Linked DNA regions of Tamandua tetradactyla. The protein of the gene in region 1 interacts with the protein of each later gene in a pairwise test. Links are inferred from orthologs where the notes say so. Each region holds a gene or a part of one and is shown in the gene's direction. Other genes may lie near its edges.

The links.
Region 2: the proteins of FAM118A (region 1) and ATOX1 interact in binary tests that used the Homo sapiens proteins (3 or more experiments, as listed by UniProt). The two-hybrid records come from large-scale screens. The link is inferred for Tamandua tetradactyla from reciprocal best matches to the Homo sapiens genes FAM118A and ATOX1.

The regions. Positions count from the first base shown.
Region 1 is NC_135333.1:39,588,608-39,598,675, forward strand, and holds the start of FAM118A (protein FAM118A), read left to right. Parts: upstream 1-5,473; 5' UTR 5,474-5,663; intron 5,664-6,135; exon of another isoform or gene 6,136-6,337; intron 6,338-10,068.
Region 2 is NC_135346.1:32,593,395-32,603,258, reverse strand, and holds the start of ATOX1 (copper transport protein ATOX1), read left to right. Parts: upstream 1-5,933; 5' UTR 5,934-6,093; coding exon 6,094-6,099; intron 6,100-9,864. UniProt on the Homo sapiens protein: Binds and deliver cytosolic copper to the copper ATPase proteins. May be important in cellular antioxidant defense.

The DNA.
Region 1 (10,068 bases):
TGGCTATGTCGCTCTGCTTTGCTCTCTCTGAATCTCCCATTCTCCAAAATGTTTCCTCTTTTATAGAACTTCAGAAACTAATCAAGATCCACCCAAATGGGTGGAGACATGCCTCTACCTAATCCAGTTTAACAACCACTCTTGATTAAATCTCATCTCCAGGGAGATGATCTGATTACAGTTTCAAACATACAATACTGAATAGGGATTAGAAGAAATGGCTGCCTTTACAAAATGGGATTAGGATTAAAACATGGCTTTTCAAGGGGACATACATCCTTTCAAACCAGCACAATCCCCAAGGGAAGCAGAGAGGGCACAACCTCTGCAAGGTCTGCCATTGTTAAAAACTCATGCAAGATGCAGGAAGATGGCAGAGTAGGGTAGGCTGATTTCACTCCTGCTCCGTGGGAAAACAAGAGAAGGGAAGGAAAAGACGACAGGGACTGCAACCCAGGGGGTGACTGATCAAGGAGGGTCTTCAGCATTCTATAGGGAGGTCCTGGTAGAGAGAGGAAAGGGGGTCGGGATGGGGAGAACAAGGCGAATCTGTTAGTTTGTGACCCCACCAGGGGCAGGTGGCAGCACATGGGGAAGTGCAGATCCAAGGAAAAAGACTGTCCCTCCCTATAGGATACCAATCTCCAATCTAGCCTGTGCCAGCAGCTGGCTGGGGAGAACTCCCTGCGTAACCTTGAAGCTGGCTGTACCTGTAGGGAGCCCAGGGGCATGCCAGCCACCCACAGGAGTGGCCATCCTGTCAGGAGCTACAGGCGGCAGATCTGCCAGATGTTGTGATCAACTGCCCTGTCCCCAGTGCTGGGACCAGCTGTCCTGCCGTGCATGCCATCCTGCCCAGCTGGCCATTCCAGGTGAGCCTGAGGGGAGGAGGAGGACGTGGCTCAAGAGCACCATCTTCTAGGAAGAAGTAGTCAGTGCAGTCTGGCAAACTCCCTATCTGCCTAGGTTTGTCTTTTTATTTAATTTTTATTTTATTTTATTTCTTAAAATTATTTTTATTTCTATTTCATTATTTATTTGTTTTCTTTCTTTTCTGTGGGCATACATCTGAGTTCATACCCAGTATATCTTGGGGTGTCTCCTTCTAGATTCAGGGACTACTATTGCTGAGGTTTTTTTTTTCTTTTTGGGTGCATGGACCAGGACTTATGCCCGGGTCACCCGCATGGTGGGCGGGCGCTCTGCTGCCGAAATACCCATGCACTCCTGCCCAGCTTTTAAAAGACCCTTAAGTAGAATTACATCCCCTATATGGGATCCAGGCTTTGCTTTAATGGGGAATTACTGACAAACCAACTGCAAAATGGGACCTTTAATGCAAACCCAAGTAAATTCAAATCTTTAGACAAAGGAAGGAAACCAACTTGCAAAACGTTATTAAGATAATCAAACTTTCTGAACACTACAGAAAATCACATGCATGCTCATTCTGTAGGCTTGGATACTTCCCACCCCCCCTTTGAAAAGCAGGTCTTACAGGTGGCTTGAGCCCCCTTCCTATACAAGCTGCTTCCCACATTTGGTGTCATAGGTGAAAGAAGTAGAGTCCAGCCCTCTTTCCAGCAGCATGATTCATGGAGGTCCCAGGAGATTGGAGCTTCCAGCTTATAAGAGGCCTTAATCACAGCTCCTGATACAAAAGCTAAAGGGACCAAACTGATCTAAGGAAGATGAGCAAACCTTCTTGGGGACCCAAGAGTAAGTGAACAAATGAATAATCATTCTACCCATTTGCTGGGTCTGGACTCAGCTTCTGGGGTGGCACTTTCTAATTGCCCCAGAGAGTATTAGCACCCTCTCTACTTCCTGGAAGACTCTGCATTGGGCAAAGCAGGCAGGCTTTCTGAAGCTAAAGAGGCAGACAGGTCTGACTGACCTACCTACTGGCCAAGGGACCGCAGGCAAATTCCCTGGCCTCTTGGAGTCTCAGTTTCCTCATTTCTAAAATAGCAACTCTATTAGTGTTCTGTGGCTGCTATAACAAATTACTACAGACAGGGGGGCTTAAAACAACAAAAATGTATCCTCTCACAGTTCTGGAGGTCAGAAATCTGAAATTAAAAAATAGTAGTATACACATACAAGCACACATATGACTTCCATTTGCACATCTCTCAGGGCAGCCCCCATTGATGCCATCACGGCCACCTGCAACACAGAGAGGACTCGCATCTGGGCCCTGTATTTGAGGTGCCAAGCCTTGCCATGTCACATGCATACAGTCAATCCTTTGCCCATTGCACACTGAATAAGACATGCTTACCTGGATGGGCGGGATAGGCGCCTCTGCTTCCCATGACACCTTGCCAACTAGCCCTGCCCATCCCTTATCTACTCTGGGGATGGTCAAGGTGGCTTGGTAGCAGTGCCCCACTCAGTCCTTTTCCAGGACCCAGGGCACCTACATCTCTCTTGAGTACAGGGGAGGGGAAGGGTTAGGGGAGTTTGTTCCTAAGGCATCCCCTCCTGCTGGCCTTGTCTTTGCAAGGCAGTGATTTGGGGTGCAGGGGCTGAGACCTGCAGGCTGTGTTTTGGATGGGGCCGACTTGGCTGGAGGGTTTCAGGCATAGCCTACCCTGTGCATAGATTTCTTGGATTCCACCACCCCAGGAACTTCAAGGATGTCTGCCCCAGGGCCGCCTACACCCAGGGTCTGGCCTCCGCCAGCACTCAGCCCAGAGTCCGGTTCTCAAGCCCATGCCACCTCTCTCAGGTCCTGGTCCCCTGCACCCGGAAGTAGCTCATGAGCTGCCCTGCACTGTGTTCCATCCTGTGACCATGGAGGAGGAGCTGAATGGAGAGAGGATGGTGACACATGCGGGAGATGGGGTGCGCAGATGCCTGGGCAACCTCAAGGGGCTTCAGCATCCCTGTCTGTTCAACTGGAATGAGAACGAGGGTGGTGCCCTCACAGGCTTGTTCCAAGATGCAGATGAAGGAGCACATGCAAAGCGCTTTGGCAGGCGCTGCCATGCACAGAAACCCACAGCTGCCTCACCACTTGGTGTTATGGACTCTGGGCCCCCAAACTTCACAAGCTGCTAAAACTCAGAAGACCCATGTGGATGACAAGTTCAGGCTTTCTCTGTGGGCCGGGGGATGTTAACAGCCAACTTGAACACTAGACAGGAAAAAATATACAGAGAGAGGAAGTAAGAATTAAATGTGGCTTGGCCAGGGTGTGGGTGGGTGTGTGGATCTGGGAAGGACGGGAAGGGGAAGTAGCTTCTGAGCCCATCGGTTCTTATTCAGAGAAGAGAAAGACTTCCAGTGGCAGAGAAGGACTTGGATAGGGGGACATACGAGTCATAAGAATAGCAGGGGACACTAATCCTGTGCATGCTCCTCTGCCAAGCCTGCCCATGTGTGACCTTACTTAGTCCTCTCAATCACCCCGAGAGGCAGGTACTGCTAGCACCATGGTTTTACAGGCAGAAACTGGGGTGCAGATGGATGAGAAGACACAGCCCTCAGGTGGTAGACCAGGCTCCAGACCCAAGCAAGTGTCCTGCTCAGCCTCCTGGGAAGTGTATTTCTTTCCTTTTCTTTTTTATTGAGGTTTTATATATATACACAACATAACCTTTCTCATTTTACAATCCAACTACCAGCATACGATGTGTTGGCATTAATTTCCATTCATGATGTTGTGCTATCCTCACGATCATCTATCACCAAAATGTTTCCATCACCCCAAATAGAAATTCTGGACCCATGAAGCATTAACCCTCACCCCTCATAACCTGTAATCTACTTTCTAACTTTATGTATTTGTCTATTTTAGTTATTTCATATAAATGAGATAATACAATATCTGTCCTTTCGCATCTGGCTTTATTTCACTCAATGTAATGTCTTCAATGTTCATCCATGTTGTCACATTGTTCCAGTTTGCTAGCTGCCGGAATGCAACACACCAGAGACAGATTGGCTTTTAATAAAAGGGGATTTATTTCATTAGTTCTTCAGAGGAAAGGCAGCTAACTTTCAACTGAGGTTCTTTGTTATACAGGAAGGCACAAACTGATCTCTGCTGGCCTTCTCTCCAGGCCTCTGAGTTCCAACAACTTTTCCCGGGGTAATTTCTTTCACATCTCCAAAGGCCTGGGCTGAGCTGCGCGTGCTGAGATGAGGTATGCTGAACTGCTTGGCCTGTGCTACATTGTGCTCTCTCATTTAAGCACCAGCCAATTAAGTCAAACCATCATTCATTGCAGCAGGCACGCCTCCTAGCCAACTGCAGATACAATCAGCAACAGATGAGGTTCATGTACCATTGGCTCATGTCCACAGCAACAGAACTAGGTGCCTTCACCTGGTCAAGTTGACAACTGAATCTAACTACCACCCACATGTTTCAGAATTCCATTCCTTTTTTATGCCTGAATAATATTCCATTGTATGGCTATACCACATTTTGCTTTTGCTTTCATTGGTTGATAGATACTTGGGTTTCTTTGAGCTTTTCACAATTGTGAATAATGCCCTGTGAAGATTGGTGGGAAAATTTCTGCTCAAGTCCCTCCTTTCAATTTTTCTGGATATGCAACTAGAAGTGGGATTGCTGGATCCTATGGCAATTCTATACTCAACTTTCTGAGGAAGTGCAAAATTGTTTTCCACGATTTTACATGTCCATGAGCACAAGCATTTCTATTTTTCTACATCCTCTCCAATGCTTGCTATTTTCTGTTTTCAAAATAATAGCCATTGAAGTGGGTGCGAAGTTGTATCTCATTCTGGCTTTGATTTGCATTTCTCTAATGGCTGATGATATTGGGCATCTTTTCCTGTGCTTACAGCCATTTGTATGTCTTCTGTGCAGAAATGTCTACTTAAGTTCTATTCCCATTGTTAAACTGAATTGTTTGTATTTTTGTTGTTGAGTTGTAGGAGTTCTTTATATACTCTGGATATTAAGCCCTTATCAGATATATGGTTCCCAAGTATTTTCTCCTGTTCTGTGGGTTGAAAACGTATTTCTTGATGAAAGAATAGCACAAGAAAGATTACTCATGCCCAAGCATTTGGGCATCGATCGTGTGCCCAGGGCTGTGCCAGCTCTGGGGGTCCAGGGGTGAACAACGCAGACAATGTTCGGGCCTCAAGGAGCCTCCGTTCCAGTGGGAAGTGACAGTGATCAAGGGACGGAATTCCGGATAGCGACAATGGCCACTGAGCTACCGGCGGCTTCGGCAAGCAGGGACCCGTGGCCCGCCGGAGCCTGCGTGATCTGCGGGCCGCAGCTGCCAGGGCCCTCGATCCTGCTCAACGCTGAGCAGGGCCCGGCAGAGCGCGCCCGCCCCCCCCCCGCCTTTTGCACATGCAAAAGAGAGACGCAGGAACGAGCGCAGGTGGCCTCAGGCCCCGCCCCCTCCTCAGAGAGGCGGGGCGAGGGGCCCGGGACCACGATAAGCCGTTGGTTTCCAGGCGGAACTTTCGCGCGGCGACCGAGAGCCCCCGGAGGAAGGCTTTGCGGCGGCGCCGCGGCGGGCAAACGTGGAGGCGAGGCTGAACGCGGTACCAGTCGGGCTCGGGCTGCGCCTCCCGCTCTCGCCGCTGGTGCGCGCGCAGACGTCGTCAGCCGCCGAGGAGGGGAGGCGGGCGTGCGAGCAGAGACCAGCGACTTGGATTCGCCGCAGGTAAGGGGCCCGGGTCGGGGGAGGCCGGGGTTCCTGGCCGAGAGCCCTCAGGACCCTTCCTCTCCCAAGACCCTTCTTGGGTCCCCACCGCTTTGGAGTCCTGACAGCCTTCAGGACCCTCGGACCCCGAAACCCTCCACGATTGTCCCTAGACTCGTAGACTCCCTGAGGACGTCCAGCCGCCTCAGGGCCCCGAGACCCCGACAAGATTCACTGAGGACCCCCGAGCCCTGAGACCGCTGAAGATTTTACCCCACCCGGTCCCGAGCCCTCATAATCCCCTTTTCCATGGGACTACTTCCTCCCCCCAGGATGCCCTACCCGCAGACCCCCTTCCTGACCCCCACCCTGCAGGGACCCTGGCCCCGGAGACTCCACCCCCTTCCCGGAGGAGGACCCCGGCCCCTTCTCTCCTTGCCCCTGGGAAGTCCCTGGAGCGCCTTCACCAACCTTTGGACTTGTTGGCCCGCAGCTGTCGACCACCGACCCTGAGGCTTAGCAGTCTGCCTTGGCTTCCCCTCCGCGCCCAACTCTAGGGCAAGGGTTCTCACACTTGAGGTCGCTGGACCTGTGCGGTGTCCAGGGAGTTCCCTGGGTTTGTGAATCCTTAGCGATAATATAAAAGAAGTGCAAGCATATAACAGGTCACCCGGATGTCCACGTTCTTCTAACAGGTACTGGCTGTGATTTCAGTGTCTGTGTATTTACATGTGTCCATACTATTGAAACCAGAGTAGGGACAGTGTGTAACTTTTACTGCTCTTTGGTTAGACTCATATGGTGACAGAGAGCAGTCTAGAGGGAGAGGACAGGAGATTTGGATGTGGTAGTGGGAGGCAGAACCAAGTTGCTGAAGGGGTCAGGGCAAACCAGGATGCTTTCAGGTTGTGTCCATGCAGGTCTTGAGGTTGTCGTTCTTAGAGCCAACGTTTTTCTGAACACCAGTTGGCTCCAGGAATTAGCACTGAAGATGGAGATGGCATAGTCCCTGCTCTCTGGGCTTAGTTGGAGGGGAGTGGGGCGAGTAGGTTGGACAAGAGGTGGTTTGTAAGGCAATAACAATATAGTGGCATTAAAGCCAGCAGGGTGGGGGGTGGGATTCTCAGGAAGGGGTCGTGTTAGGAAGGCTTTCTAGGAGGGAAAGAGATAATAGGTAACAGGAAAACTGACTATTGGAGGTAGAGCTTGAGGACAAGTTTGCCAGGGCCACCTCAGGCAAAGGCAGAGAGGCATGCCAAAGCCCATCAGGTTTTGGAATTGGGAAAAATGTGGCTGGAGCATAGAGAAATCCTGGGGGATGGCTGGAGATGTGTTGTTTCCCTGATGAAGATCAAACCCAACTTTCTAAGGCTGGTATGAGAGGGAATTGTTTCCTGAAGCCCCCACCCCCACCCCGTGCCGTTGGTGCTTTCTAGAGTTACCACTTTTACTCCTATGCCCCAAGTCACTGAAGATCCCAGCTGAGACTGAAAGAAGATGGTGGGTCAGTGGAAAGGAGCGAGGAAATGAGTAGACTAGAATGGGAGAATCTGGGAAATTGGGCCGAGTGTTGGATCCGAAAGGGGTGTGCCCAGCACAGAGGCTGGACCCACCAGATGGAACCGAATTATATGAGCTTCTGAAGCCACGTAGAGGATTGATTTGAAGAAGGGAGTGGGAGGCCATTAAAAGGTATAACTATGAGTAGGAGTGGTGTGTGTGTTTGAAGAAGTGCTCTCACTATTTGGGGGAAGCAGGGCCACATGTGAATAGTGTAGGGAACCTGGCCCAGGTGGTGGCAGTGGGGACCATGACTTCCACAAGCATAGCTAAGCTTACAGTCCAGACCCAAAAGACGTGCTCATTCCTGTCTGAGCCTACAGTTTCCTGCCTGGAAATTGACGTAGGTACTTTGTACTTCCTTTTAGGCGAGGTCTTTGTATTTCTCACCTCGGGGCTCAGAGCCTTTGTGCCTTATCAGCTGAGTGTCTGTGTCACAGGGAGCCAGACATCCCACAGGAGATGCACATGCAGCACAGCTGGGTGCGGTGAACAGAGGCTGGTTCCCAGTGATGTGACCTGATCAGGAAGGGTTTGGATGCTGGATGCCAGTATCCTGCAGGAAAGGGAAAGCTGCTGAAGCTGAGGAGAGACAAGTTTAGATGTGCTGCATTAGAAATATCACTCTGGAGACCGTGTGGGATTAGAGGGGCTGAAACTGAAGGCAGTGGGTTTTAGGAGGCCAGACAAGAAGCTGTGAGGGCTTTAAGGCAGTGGCAGAGAGTGTGGATCAGAAGACATTTGGAAGGAAAATCTACAGGATTTCTGTTTGGGTGAGGGAGAAGAGACTCTAGCGTAGCGCTGTGCAGTACAGCTTTCTGTGATGCTGAACATGTTTTGTGACTGCCTCACCACCCCACCACAGGGACTTTGAACACTGAGAACCTGACTAGTGTTACTAAGAACTGAATTTTAAATTTTATTTAATTTTAATGAATGAAATCCAGTTAGGACATGCCCTTGCGGGTCCAGGCTTGTACTTAAATGTTACCCCATCTGAACACTTCCAGCAACCCTGGGAGGTGAAAGTATTGTTCTTTTTAAAATATTCTTATTGATAAATCTTCACACACGAACATTCCATACATGGTGTATAATCAGTGGCTCGCAATATCATCACATAGTTGTGTATTCATCACCATGATCATTTTTTAGAACATTTACATCACTCCAGAAAAAGAAGTAAAAAGAAAAAACTCATACATATCGTAACCCTTACCCTGCCCCCTCATTGACTACTAGTATCTTTGTCTACCCACTTTATTTTACCCTTTGTCCCCTCTATTATTTGGTTATATTTTATCCATTTTTTTTACTCATAAAAGGAGCAACAGACACAAGGTTTTCACAATCATGCAGTCATGTTGTAAAAGTTATATCGGAAGGCATTGTTCTTATCTTACAGGTAAAGGCAGTGGAGGCTCAGAAAGAGTAAATTATGTGCCCAGGTTTTAAGTGGTGAACACAGACTTGTGCCCAGTCGGTTTAGCTTCTCAGGCTGCTCATTTCACTATATCTGTGTTCCTTTCCCCAGGAGCCAGGGGCCATCTGGGTGGTGGTGATGTTTCCCCTGCAAGGCCTGCCTTATCTGCTCCCTGTAAAGTTAACTGGGACAGTTGTGTGATAAGCAAGCACAGACCAAAAAGAAAACTGTTTTGCGCTGGTCATTTGGCCTGAGGCTTCTTCCTGCCTTTAGGCTTCCTAAAGGTGGCCATTTCTCTTTGCAGTTTTGGAGAACTAGTTGGGTAAGAGAGAAGGTGGACCTGCAGGTCAGCCAAAGAGATGTAAACGAGTGTCTAAGCTGAATTTTGAACTCCCACTTGCCAGGTAGTGACTGGTGTGGTGGAGGGTGGGGCACGAGCCTGGAGTTAGTTTATAGCTCACTCCTAGCCCTTGGGGAGCCTAGACTAAGTCACGTTGCCTCCTAGGGTCTCAGTTTCCACTTCTACCAAATTAGGGTATTTGGCACTGTATAACCTCAAGATCCTTTCAGATCTAAAATTCTGTGATTGTAAGTTTCCTCATGGGTTGCTTCCTGGAATTTCTCCTGTTCCTCTCAGGGTGGATACATGCTGGTGGGTCAGCATGCTGTTGGCCTCTGTTTTGGTGTTTCACCATTATTAGCTTATCATTAAGTGACATGTTTATTTGAGTTGGGTGACACGTCACATCTGATGGGCAAAGCTTTAACAATGGCAAGGTCTGCAGGAAAATATCAGGTATGTTTATTTGCCATTCTGAGCAGCCTCGATGTTAGGAACAGTGCAGGACTATATACTATGATTGTCAAGCTTTTAAAGGTTCATATTAAATGCCTAACCCTTGGTGTAAAATGAGAGGTGATTATAGTATATTTCTTAGTGTTGCAGAGGGGATTAAAAGAGATAACTCATGGAAGTACTTAGCACTTTCCCTCAAATATAATGAGGGCTCAAAAAGGTGGCAGTAATTAATACTGCCTTTGAACTGAAATATGTCCTTTACATTTTTATTAGCGTTGGGTTTTATTGTTTCCTTATTTTGGGCATATATGCCCAGGCAACTGTTCAGAGGCACTGGTTTCAAGAAGCCAATTAATGCATTTTGATCATTAAGAAACAAGCAATTTCTGGTAATAATTCATTTCAGGTGTGTAAAAAGTGATCCTCTAAGTAGTATTATTCAAATTAAGGTTTTGCTTTTTTGTATGTTGAAAAAAAGCAGCTCATCCTGAAGATCCCTTTTTAGCAATGACTGAGCTTCAGTTGTACCACATGTGGTTAAATTAACATGGACTTGTCGTGATGCCTTGAGAAAGCCATGTTCACTGTAAAGCCCACTAATGGTAAGAGAGACCAGCTGGGTGCTGAGGCAGCTTGTAACTAAT
Region 2 (9,864 bases), on another chromosome or scaffold:
CTACAACTAATTGTTGTGATATACTTTGAAATGTATTGCTTTTGTGTATATATGTTATTTTTAAAGAAGGAGGAGTTTAATAGAGAAGAAAGGATTTAGCAAATAAGTATGACTGCTGAATCACTGATATTTCCATTGGTCTCCAGTGTCTTGGAGCAGCTAAAAGAAAACACAAAAAATCATGGAACTGTAACTCATACCAAACCTTAAAATCTATTCTATAACTGCTTGTTAAAATGTACTTGGAAATGTATTGCTTTTTTGTATATATGTCATATTTCACAATAAAAAAAAAAACAGACTCAGAGAGGTTAAGTAACTTGCACAAGTTTACCCAGCTAGGGCTGGAAGCTAGGACTCTGACTTCGTGTTCTCTTACCCGCTCCTCAATCATCCTATTCAGGGAAGGAGGATAGTAGAGAAAGGGGCATGGTCTCCTCAAAAACTTCTGAAAGACTGCTATGTGCTCTTTATCCTTTCATGTGTAGCACTCGGTAATGCTGCATACAGAAATTTCGAAGTGGTTTGAGGATTTTGGAGCCCATGGCAAATCCTGGTAATCTACAGCCAAAGCTCTGCAAAAGGCTTTTTCCAGCACACTCTGATACTACCTATGAATCTAGAAGGCCCCACCTTCTGTGGTTTAGAAGACCAAATAACAATCATATTAATAATATGTTTCAAGCACCATGGTGCTAGGCACATTTTTTTTTCAATTCATCCTCCCCAAAATTCTATGAAATATTAACTCTGTTTTACAGATCTACCAACTATGGCAGAATTAGTATTAGTATTCAAAATCAAGTTTATACTGGGGTACATGGTGGTCCAGTGGTAGGATGCTCGTCTTCCATGCGGGAGACCTGGGTTCAAGTTCCAGACCATGCACCTAAAAAATAATAATAATAAAGTTTATACCACTCTAAATTCAAAAAGGAAGAAAGGACCAAGAATAATATATGAATCCTCACAACAGTTAATTTCAACAGATGGAGAAACCAAAGTGAAAAGAAGTTAATTTTTCAACCATCAAATTACAAAATATCTTTCTATATGTAACAAGCCTAGAAATAAGCTGCAGCTGGCATTGGTCCAGTACCCACAATGTCAGGACTAGCATCTCTGTGATTCTCTTAATTGCAAGATGGTGGACACTATTCTAGAGTGTTCTAAGCAGAAAGGGAGAAAGGAGTGGTATTTGTTCCCTTGGTGAGGAATGCCGGAGCTTTCCCAGGAGCCTCCTAGAAGACTTCTACTTTTGTCTCATTGACTACAGCCCTATCAAATGGCATACCTGGCTGCAAGGGAGGCTGGAAAAGCATATTTAGATATTTCAGCATCAATAGTAGCAAGAGTAAAAGATCGGGAACAGTTGTTGGATTAGCCAACAAATGGTCTCTGCCATAAGGAGTGGCAAAATAAATTAAGATTACTGAATAATGGAACATTACATGGCACCAAAAAGAAAGAAGGAAATTAATTGTAAAATAAGAAAATCAGAGTGCAAAACATATGTTATATGCATTTTGTTTATGAAAGGGGGAATCGGGGTAGGAGGGTGTATTAGGGTTATCTAGGGAAACAGAACCAACAGGAGATATCTGTAAATATGAGATTTTATAAAAGGGTCTCATGCAACCGTGGGGATACACAAGTCCAAATTATGACTGCAGGCTGCAAGCTGGCAGCTCTGATGAAGGTCTTTGATGAATTCCCCAGGAGAGGCTGGTTCATTGAAGTGCAGTGAGAGATTCTCTCTTCTGACTTCTCCTTTTAAAGCCTTCATCTGATTCAATTAAATCTCTCTCATTGCTGAAGATACTCTCGTTAATTTAGATGTAATCAGTCATAGATGCAATCAACTTACTGATGATTTTTTTTTTTTTTCGCATGAGCAGGCACCGGGAATCGAACCCGGGTCTCCAGCATGGCAGGTGAGGATTCTGCCTGCTGAGCCACCATGGCCCACCCCTTACTGATGATTTAAGTCCACAAAATGTCCTTGCAGTAATGCTTAGGCCAGTGCTTCACCAGACAACTGGGCACCATTATCTGGCCAAGTTGAAACATAAACCACCACAGAGGGAGACCTATTTTTCAGTGTATACCCTTTTGTGCTATTTGAAAATTTTTAAACACAACATGTACATTGGAATTTTGCCTCTGATCCTGTACCTGTCCAAAATAACCTCTAGTAGAAATTGCTATAGTATATCTTTAGTCTATTTTTATTATAAATAAATGGATTTTATGTGTATAATTATATAGGACTACAATCCTGTGCATTTTCCTCTCCCCTTTGATAGGCCTTCATTTGCCACCTATAATGGGTTTCCATGATGCTGCTGCTTTATTAAATTGTTTTCTCCCTGCTTAACTCCCCATTGCCCATTTTCTGAGCCACCCACTCTTCCTTTGCCTTGATTGGCTTGCCTTGTCACTGTTGCTTTTGGCTTTGTGAAGGATTTACTCTCCCTAACCCCCTGACCCCCACAGGGATGTCGTTATCCCCAGCCTCAGTGCACAACTGTCCCCCAGTGTTGCCAAAGTTCTCAGCCGTGCCTTCTGAGACCTGAGGTTACCAGCCCTATAGCACCCTCTTTCCTCCCTTCTTTCTCCCTTCCTCCCACCCAAACAAAATCTCTCCATGTGGAGTAAAATGATGATCACCTTCCCACACCTACATGTTTCCTACAGGAGAACAGATGTAGAATGGGTAGTCTGCCACCTATTTAGAGAGTGTAGGGAAAAAGAATTTTTGGCTTTAGGAAATGGCAAATGGTGGGGACGGCGCAGTGGATTAACAGGTGAGCATTTTTGCCAGTAGGGGAAGACTGCCTGCCAAGTTGCCAGCAGGGGCTCTAGCAATTAGAACTCTTTTGTAGAAGAGTTGTAATATTCTTTAATGTCTACCATGTGCCAACCAATGCACAAGGCAGTTTGCATAAATTATCATATTTATTCCTCCCAATGATGCTACAAAGTAGGTCTCTTTGGAGGAACCATATGTCCTGATTTACCTGGAGCAGTCATAGTTATATGCCCATGGTCCTGGCATAATTATTAATGACATCCTTTTTCAGTCTCAAAAAAAAAAAAAGGTTTACATAAAAAATTGTAAGTCACCTTAACTATCCCCTTTAATAAGGGAGCATATTGAGACTTAAAGGGTTGAAGTAACACACCTGGTAAATGATAAGGGTAAGATTCAAACTAGCCCCTGGCCTAGACTTGTTCCTTTGATTTTGTGTTCCTTGAATTTAGGAACCATTATCCTCTTCCCTAAACCAAAGTTAGTAGCTTTTTGTTAATCCCTCCGTCTATCTGGGTCTAATCAGGAGAGAAAAACCACATGGTAATTTGCACAAGGAAAATTTAAAGAATTATTATAACAAGATGCCATGGTAATGAGGGATTGGCTAATAAGAAGTAAAGAGAGCTCTAAAGAATACAGGAATAGCAGATATAAGGAGCAGCCACTAACCAGAGGGCTGAAAGAGAACACCCGATGAGCGCCTCCCTTCCTGCCCCACCCTCAGCCTGAGATGAACACCTTGTTCGAGATGGCATAGCTGTGGCCCACACCCTGGGGCCGCACTGGTGGAACTGGCTAGAAATCCATTCTCTAAAGTGCTGAAGAAAACTGTTTACACAGAGCTGTTTACTGGAGAAACTCTGCTCAAAACCACTTCTACCAGGGTTTGAGGTGGGGTAAGTGGGGCACTGCTAGCCAGGTGTTGCTGGTCCCTAGGCTAAAAGCAGGGGCCTGGTCCCGAAGAAGCCATCCACAGGAGCTGGGAGAGCCACACATACTGCAGGACCCTGGTGAATCAGCCCAGCGGAAACAGGAAGGAAAACTTTTTCTTCAGTCAGTGTCTCTCCAGAACCTTCAACCGAAAAAGTTAAACATCTCACCAGCTGTAAAGGACAAAATAAATTTAAAGGGCCCAGATCCATTTTCACAGTGCAGGCAAAAAGGATGAATCTGGAGCTGAGCAGCAATAAATTAATAACCAGCACACTCCCTCAAAAAACTTCCCTGTGTTATACTATAATTTTCCTCTAGTAGGGGCTTTCGAAACAAGAGGAAGGAGGACTAAAAGTGTTCCTCAAAATGAGGCAGGAAGAAAGGTAACAAAATAAGGTGTCAGTGGCTAAGAGAGTTCAAATGGAGTGGAGAGGCTATTCTGGAGGCTACCCTTACACAAACTTAAGCTAGATATTGCTAATTGCCAGGGTTTGCCAAATCCTAATTAACATTACTCTCATTAACCCTAAAGAGCACCCAGGCTGTATCTTAGATTCTACAAAAGTTTCACACACCAAGTTTACTTCTCAGAAACCTAAAACTTCAGATGGTTCCCAGGCCAGATAAGTCCTGAAACCCCCAGTCTCTGCAAAATCATCAACCAGTTCTGTCCCCGTATCCTGTATGATTGACGCCGCTTTTCAATGTGAAAAAATTAGAATGGGTATAGCCCAAATATCCCTAAGGACTGGGAGAAGGATCAAAGGAGAAGGAGTTATAAAAGAAACGTTAGGATTTAACTAATGAGTATGACTATTGAATCATTATATTGATATTGCCATTTAGTCTCCAGTGTCTTGGAGCAGCTAGAAGGAAAAACCTGAAATTGTGGAACTGTAACCCATACCCAACGTTGAATTCTGTTCTATAACTACTTGTTAAAATGTAATTTAAAATGTATTCTTTTTTTTGTATCTATGTTACATCTCATAGTAAAAAATGTTTTAAAAAGCTCTTATCAAAAAAAGTTAAAAAGCCCTTATCAGATATATGTTTTCCAAATATTACCCCCATTCTGTAGGTTGTCTTTTTTACTTTCTAATTTATTAAAAGTAATGTCTCTTTTATAACTCCTTCTCCTTTGATCCTTCTCCCAATCCTTAGTGATATTTGGGCTATGCCCATTCTAATTTTTTCACATTGAAAAGTCCTTTGATGCACACACACACACACACACACACACACACAAAAGGCAGCTGTGTATCTGGGGAGAGGCCTAGAAATCTGAATATTTATCAGGCTTTCTAAGCCATTCTTGATGAAAGACCTTTGAGAAACTATTTAGACAGAGCACCCCCACCCCTGGGAGGGTCCTTGGATATTTCCAAGGAGAGAGTCACCTTGGTTCTCTGTGTATTGGGTATGTGTGTGTGAAGTTTCAGGTTTTCACATGTCTGTTTCTCTGTAAGTTTCCTAGAGCATGTCTGCCTCTATGTCTCCACACATAGCTGTGGATCTCTTTAGTCTTGTCAAATAGTTTATCTGTGTGAGCCTACCTCTCAGGCTTAATATCTCTGTCTCTCAAATCTGCTCACTTTTGCCTTCCAGTTTTTAATTCATGCTGTTCCCTGGGCCCAAAACACTGTTCCCCATACCTCCCTTTCCCCTAATGAGCTCATCTTCCTCATCAGGTGAATTTGATTCTTCCTCTTTAACTCAGATATTACATCCTCCAGAAGCCTCCGCCTCTCCCTTCCCGCACTCCAGTCTGAATTAGGAACCTTTTGTCTAAACTCCCATGACAACCCTTCATAGCTCCTTTATGGCTGCATTATTCATTGCTTCTTTCGCTCCCTTCGAAGGTACGTCGTTTTCCACTACAGCACCTTGGGATGCCTAACACAGTGCTAGCCCACGGTTAGTACTCCATAAATATTGACTGAGTAAATGAGATTGTGTATCACGAAAAAATGAGACCGTGTATTGTGCATGTATTTACGAGGGATGGAATCTGTTCTGTTGACTATTGGTGCCCTTGTATTCCCAGTCCCTACTACAAGGCCTGACATGGAGCAGGCGTTCTAAAAATGGCCAAGCGCCAATGGGGATTCACTTGGCGGGAATCTACCGGTAGTGGTCCGGTATCTGCCCACCGACTAGGAGGTGCCAGCGCAGCGGCGGAAAGGGCGGGGCCTGGCGGCGGTTCGACCCCGGAGAGGGCGGGGCTTGGCCGAGTGGCCCGTCTCCTCCCGGCGCGCTCACCCGGAAGCGCTGCCCCAGCGAACTTGCCTAGCGTCCGGGAGGCTGCACCGCCAACCCCTTCACCCCTGCTCCCGCCATCCATTATGCCGGTAAGTGGCCGCGTCGTCCCGGCCCTGCCCAAACCTGGGGCCCCTGGGTCGCGCCTTGGCTGCACTGCTGCTTGACCAGGGGTTGCTACCCCCCCCCCCCCAGCTTCTAGGACCCTCCAGAAAATCGGAACCGAGAGGAAGTGATTCAAGGAGCCAGGCTTCAGAATGCTGGAGTTACAACGCCTCCAACGATCACGAGCCCAAACCCTCCTTGCATGTACTGGGAAACTAAGATCCAAAAAGGAGGCAGACATCCGAGGTTACACAGAGAATTGGTGGCAAGCTGGAATGGGAAACCTTAGTTCTGCACCTTCCTCCTGGATGCCCCTTTCCCGGGAGCTGACCTTAAAGAAGAATGTGGGGTGGTTATGAGCAAGTTATGAGCCCGACTCTTGCCACCCTGACTGGGCAGGTTTTCAGAGATCCATATTTTTCTTCACTTCCCTGCCCACTCTGGCAGATTTTCAGGTCGGTGTTGGACGAACTTGAATGGCGCCAGTACTTTTGACCTTTTTCAACTGGTCAGTTTCTGAACCTGAATCCATGAGCTCCAGAGAGGTTCAGAGTCCTGCTCAAAGTCATCAGTTACTCAGTGACAGAGTTTGGGGAGGAATGAGCAGGTCTTAGCCTGCCTTTGCAGCTCACTCAGCCTTATTGCACATACATCTTTGGTCATGGCCTCATTTTGTAGATAACAAATTAAAGTCTTTTGCAGATAAAAAAAATTAAAAGCCCAGTAATTTATTCAAAATTGTGTTGAGAGATGGGTGGAACCAAAATTAAGCCCCTTATCCTCCAGCTTCCAGTCCTTCCTGGCCTAATCACACAGGGAAGCAACCTGCAAAAGCAGTCACACCTGCTTGGGAGAAAGCTCCAATTCCAGTTGCCTCTCTGAGATCCTGGTTGGGGTCAGGTGGTGTTTAGCATTTTCCCTCCACGGTGTCTAGTTCCTGGCTCTACTCCAAGTGAGTGCCCAGAAGTGTTCCCAGACACCCTGTGTCTTAGCAGCCTGTCATTGGGGAGCTGACAGGTGAGCCACCGCCCCCCTGGGCAGAGCCACAAACATCTCAGTTGTCAGTTCCCTTGGGTCTTGCCAGGTTCCTTGAGACAAATCCTCAGACATCACAAGCTATAGACAAAGAGCCTGACAGAATCTGCCCTCCCAGCTTAGCAAATCCACTGTGGCAATGTTAGAAAACAGCATTAATCACCCTGGGACCAGATTGTAGAGGCCACTAGGGTTTTTGTGGAGAATGGTAGTGAGGGAAAGGCCAGCCTGAGGATCACAATACTCTTTGCCCATTTCTGGGGATTTTGACAAACCAGAGACTCTGGAGAGGATAATGGGGATGGGGAAGGCATTAACACCGAAGACATCTCAAGAAGGCATTCTTGAGATGAATGGCTGAAGGAGAAAGGATAGTAGTCCAGAGACTGCCTTCAAAATCAGAAGGGGAAGAGTATCTCACCTCAGATTTCTCAGACAAGCACTTACACAGGCTGTGGGATCCCAGAAACTTCTGTGAACATTTGTGCCCACACCTGCCAGCTGGGTGACCTCAGCAAGTTGCTTTACTTCTCTGTGCCTTGGTTTACTCATCTGTAAAATGGGGATAAAAGTCTGACCTTGGGTGGTGCACCAGTGGCTCAGTGGCAGAATTCTCACCTGCTGTGGCAGAGACCTAGGTTCAATTCCCAGAGCTTGCCCATGCCCCGCCCCCCCCCCCAAAAAATCTGACCTCACGAGACTATTGTTAATATTAACTGGAAGAACAATAGTCAAATGTATAGCATAGCCACTGACATAGCCGGTCCCAAGAAATGGTAGTTCTAGGGTAGACCTAGGGCAGAAGAGAGGGGTGGAACTATAGGCATGCAGATTTGAACACAATATTAACAAGGACTGCAGTGGTTCAGGATTAGGCTTTGGAGAGTGTCTGCATCCAGTCCCATGTCATGCCACTCTCTAGCTATATGACCCAAGTGAGTGACCTCACCTCAAGCTCAGTTCCCCCATCTGTAAAGAAGGGATAATAATATCGCCCTTTGTGAAGATTAAATAAGATAATGCCTATAAGTGCTTAGAAATGCCTGGCACATAGCAAGAATTCAAATATATTAGTACTAATAAACTCCCAGTAACCGGGGTGGGTATCAAGGACTGAATATCCCAGATATTTAAGAATGCCTTCACTAGAAGGAGGCTGGCCAAAGTGACCCTGCTCTATCCCTGCCCTTCCAGTGTTGAAATTCTGTTAAAAGAATTGTACGGCTTACTGGACTTTTTCATCTACTTTTTTTTTTTTTAACTCTTTTCATTGTATAATATATATACAAAGCAAAGAAAAAAGCAATAATTTTCAAGCACGCTTCAACATGTAGTTATAGAACAGATCCCATAGTTTGTCATGAGCTACCATTCCATCATCTCAGATTTCTACTTTTATGATTGTATGTCAAAATTTACAATCAGATTTCTACTTTTAAGAACTCATTGTTTAGGTGAGAAGCTCAGACCCAGAGGGGCCAGAACTGACCAAAATCAAGCATCCAATGATGGAGGAGGTCTGAGGAATTTCCTGTAAAGAATGGATTATCACTTTGTCCATTAAGCAGATCCTCCACCACCCCCAGATTTGTTTTTGCAACTCAGAGGTGGGGGAGGAGGGTACTGAACTATGTTTGCTTCCAGCAGCCACCTCCTGGCTTCTGACCTCTGCTGTGGAGGATGAAATGACACCCATTGCTTATAGTCAACAGCAGAAAGCTTCAGTTAGCTATTAACTTCAGGATCTTGGGCAGCAAAAAAAAAATGTGTTTTCTATATCCTGGAGAAAGTATTCCCACTCTCAGCTCCTGCTAAGAGTCAGGGTTGTGGGGGGCAGCAGGTGGTGGTGCAGTTTACTGATCCAAAGTCAGCAAGATTTCCCTGAATCGAGGAAGGCCTAGATTCACATCACATCCTCAATACTTAACATATGACTGTGGGCAGCTTAGTTAGCCTCTGGGAACCTCATTTTCCTCCTAGGTAAAATAGCTCCCACTCCAAGCTGAGTGAGGACTAACTTAGTTACTGTATAAAGAGCATTTGGCATATAGTAGGCATTCTATAAATTTAGATTTTATTTTGATCTTGCAAATACTTAAAGCTTTGAAAGATATATAAGTACAAACTACAGATGAAGTTTTTTTAAATAGAAATTGAACACCTACTATACCCTATGGGTGGCCAGTTTTATCTGTCTGGTTTCTAGCAAAAACACCACATTCCTTGGGTTAGAGAGGTCACATTGTAATTCCAGTCTCTGGGGCTCTCAACGCACAGCCCAGAGCCATTCCAAAAAGGAGATCTGTCTGATTGGGTATCTGAAGTTTTCTGTCATGGCCAGGTGTACAAGTGTAAGGAGGATGTTATTAGAGGACTACCTGTCTTGGGACGCTGAGGGGGATAGGCACAGACCCAACAGTGACTCTGATTGTTTCCATTTGTTGTGTGGTATACCAGATGGACAGAAATTGTCCATAGGGCAGAAATAGGAGAAAGAGGAAATAAAAGAAAATCATGGTGAAGGGTGGGGATTATTGGGGATGGAGATTGGACATTGTAAGGCATATAGGATGAATAAGAGACAGTATAGACAGATGGTGAAAAGGAAGAGACAGAATAAAATAAGGAAATTCAGGCATGTCTTGATTTGTGATATTGAGTATCATCTCCTTGTTCTGACCTTTTGGGCCAAAGCTCTGTACATCAGATGCCATCTG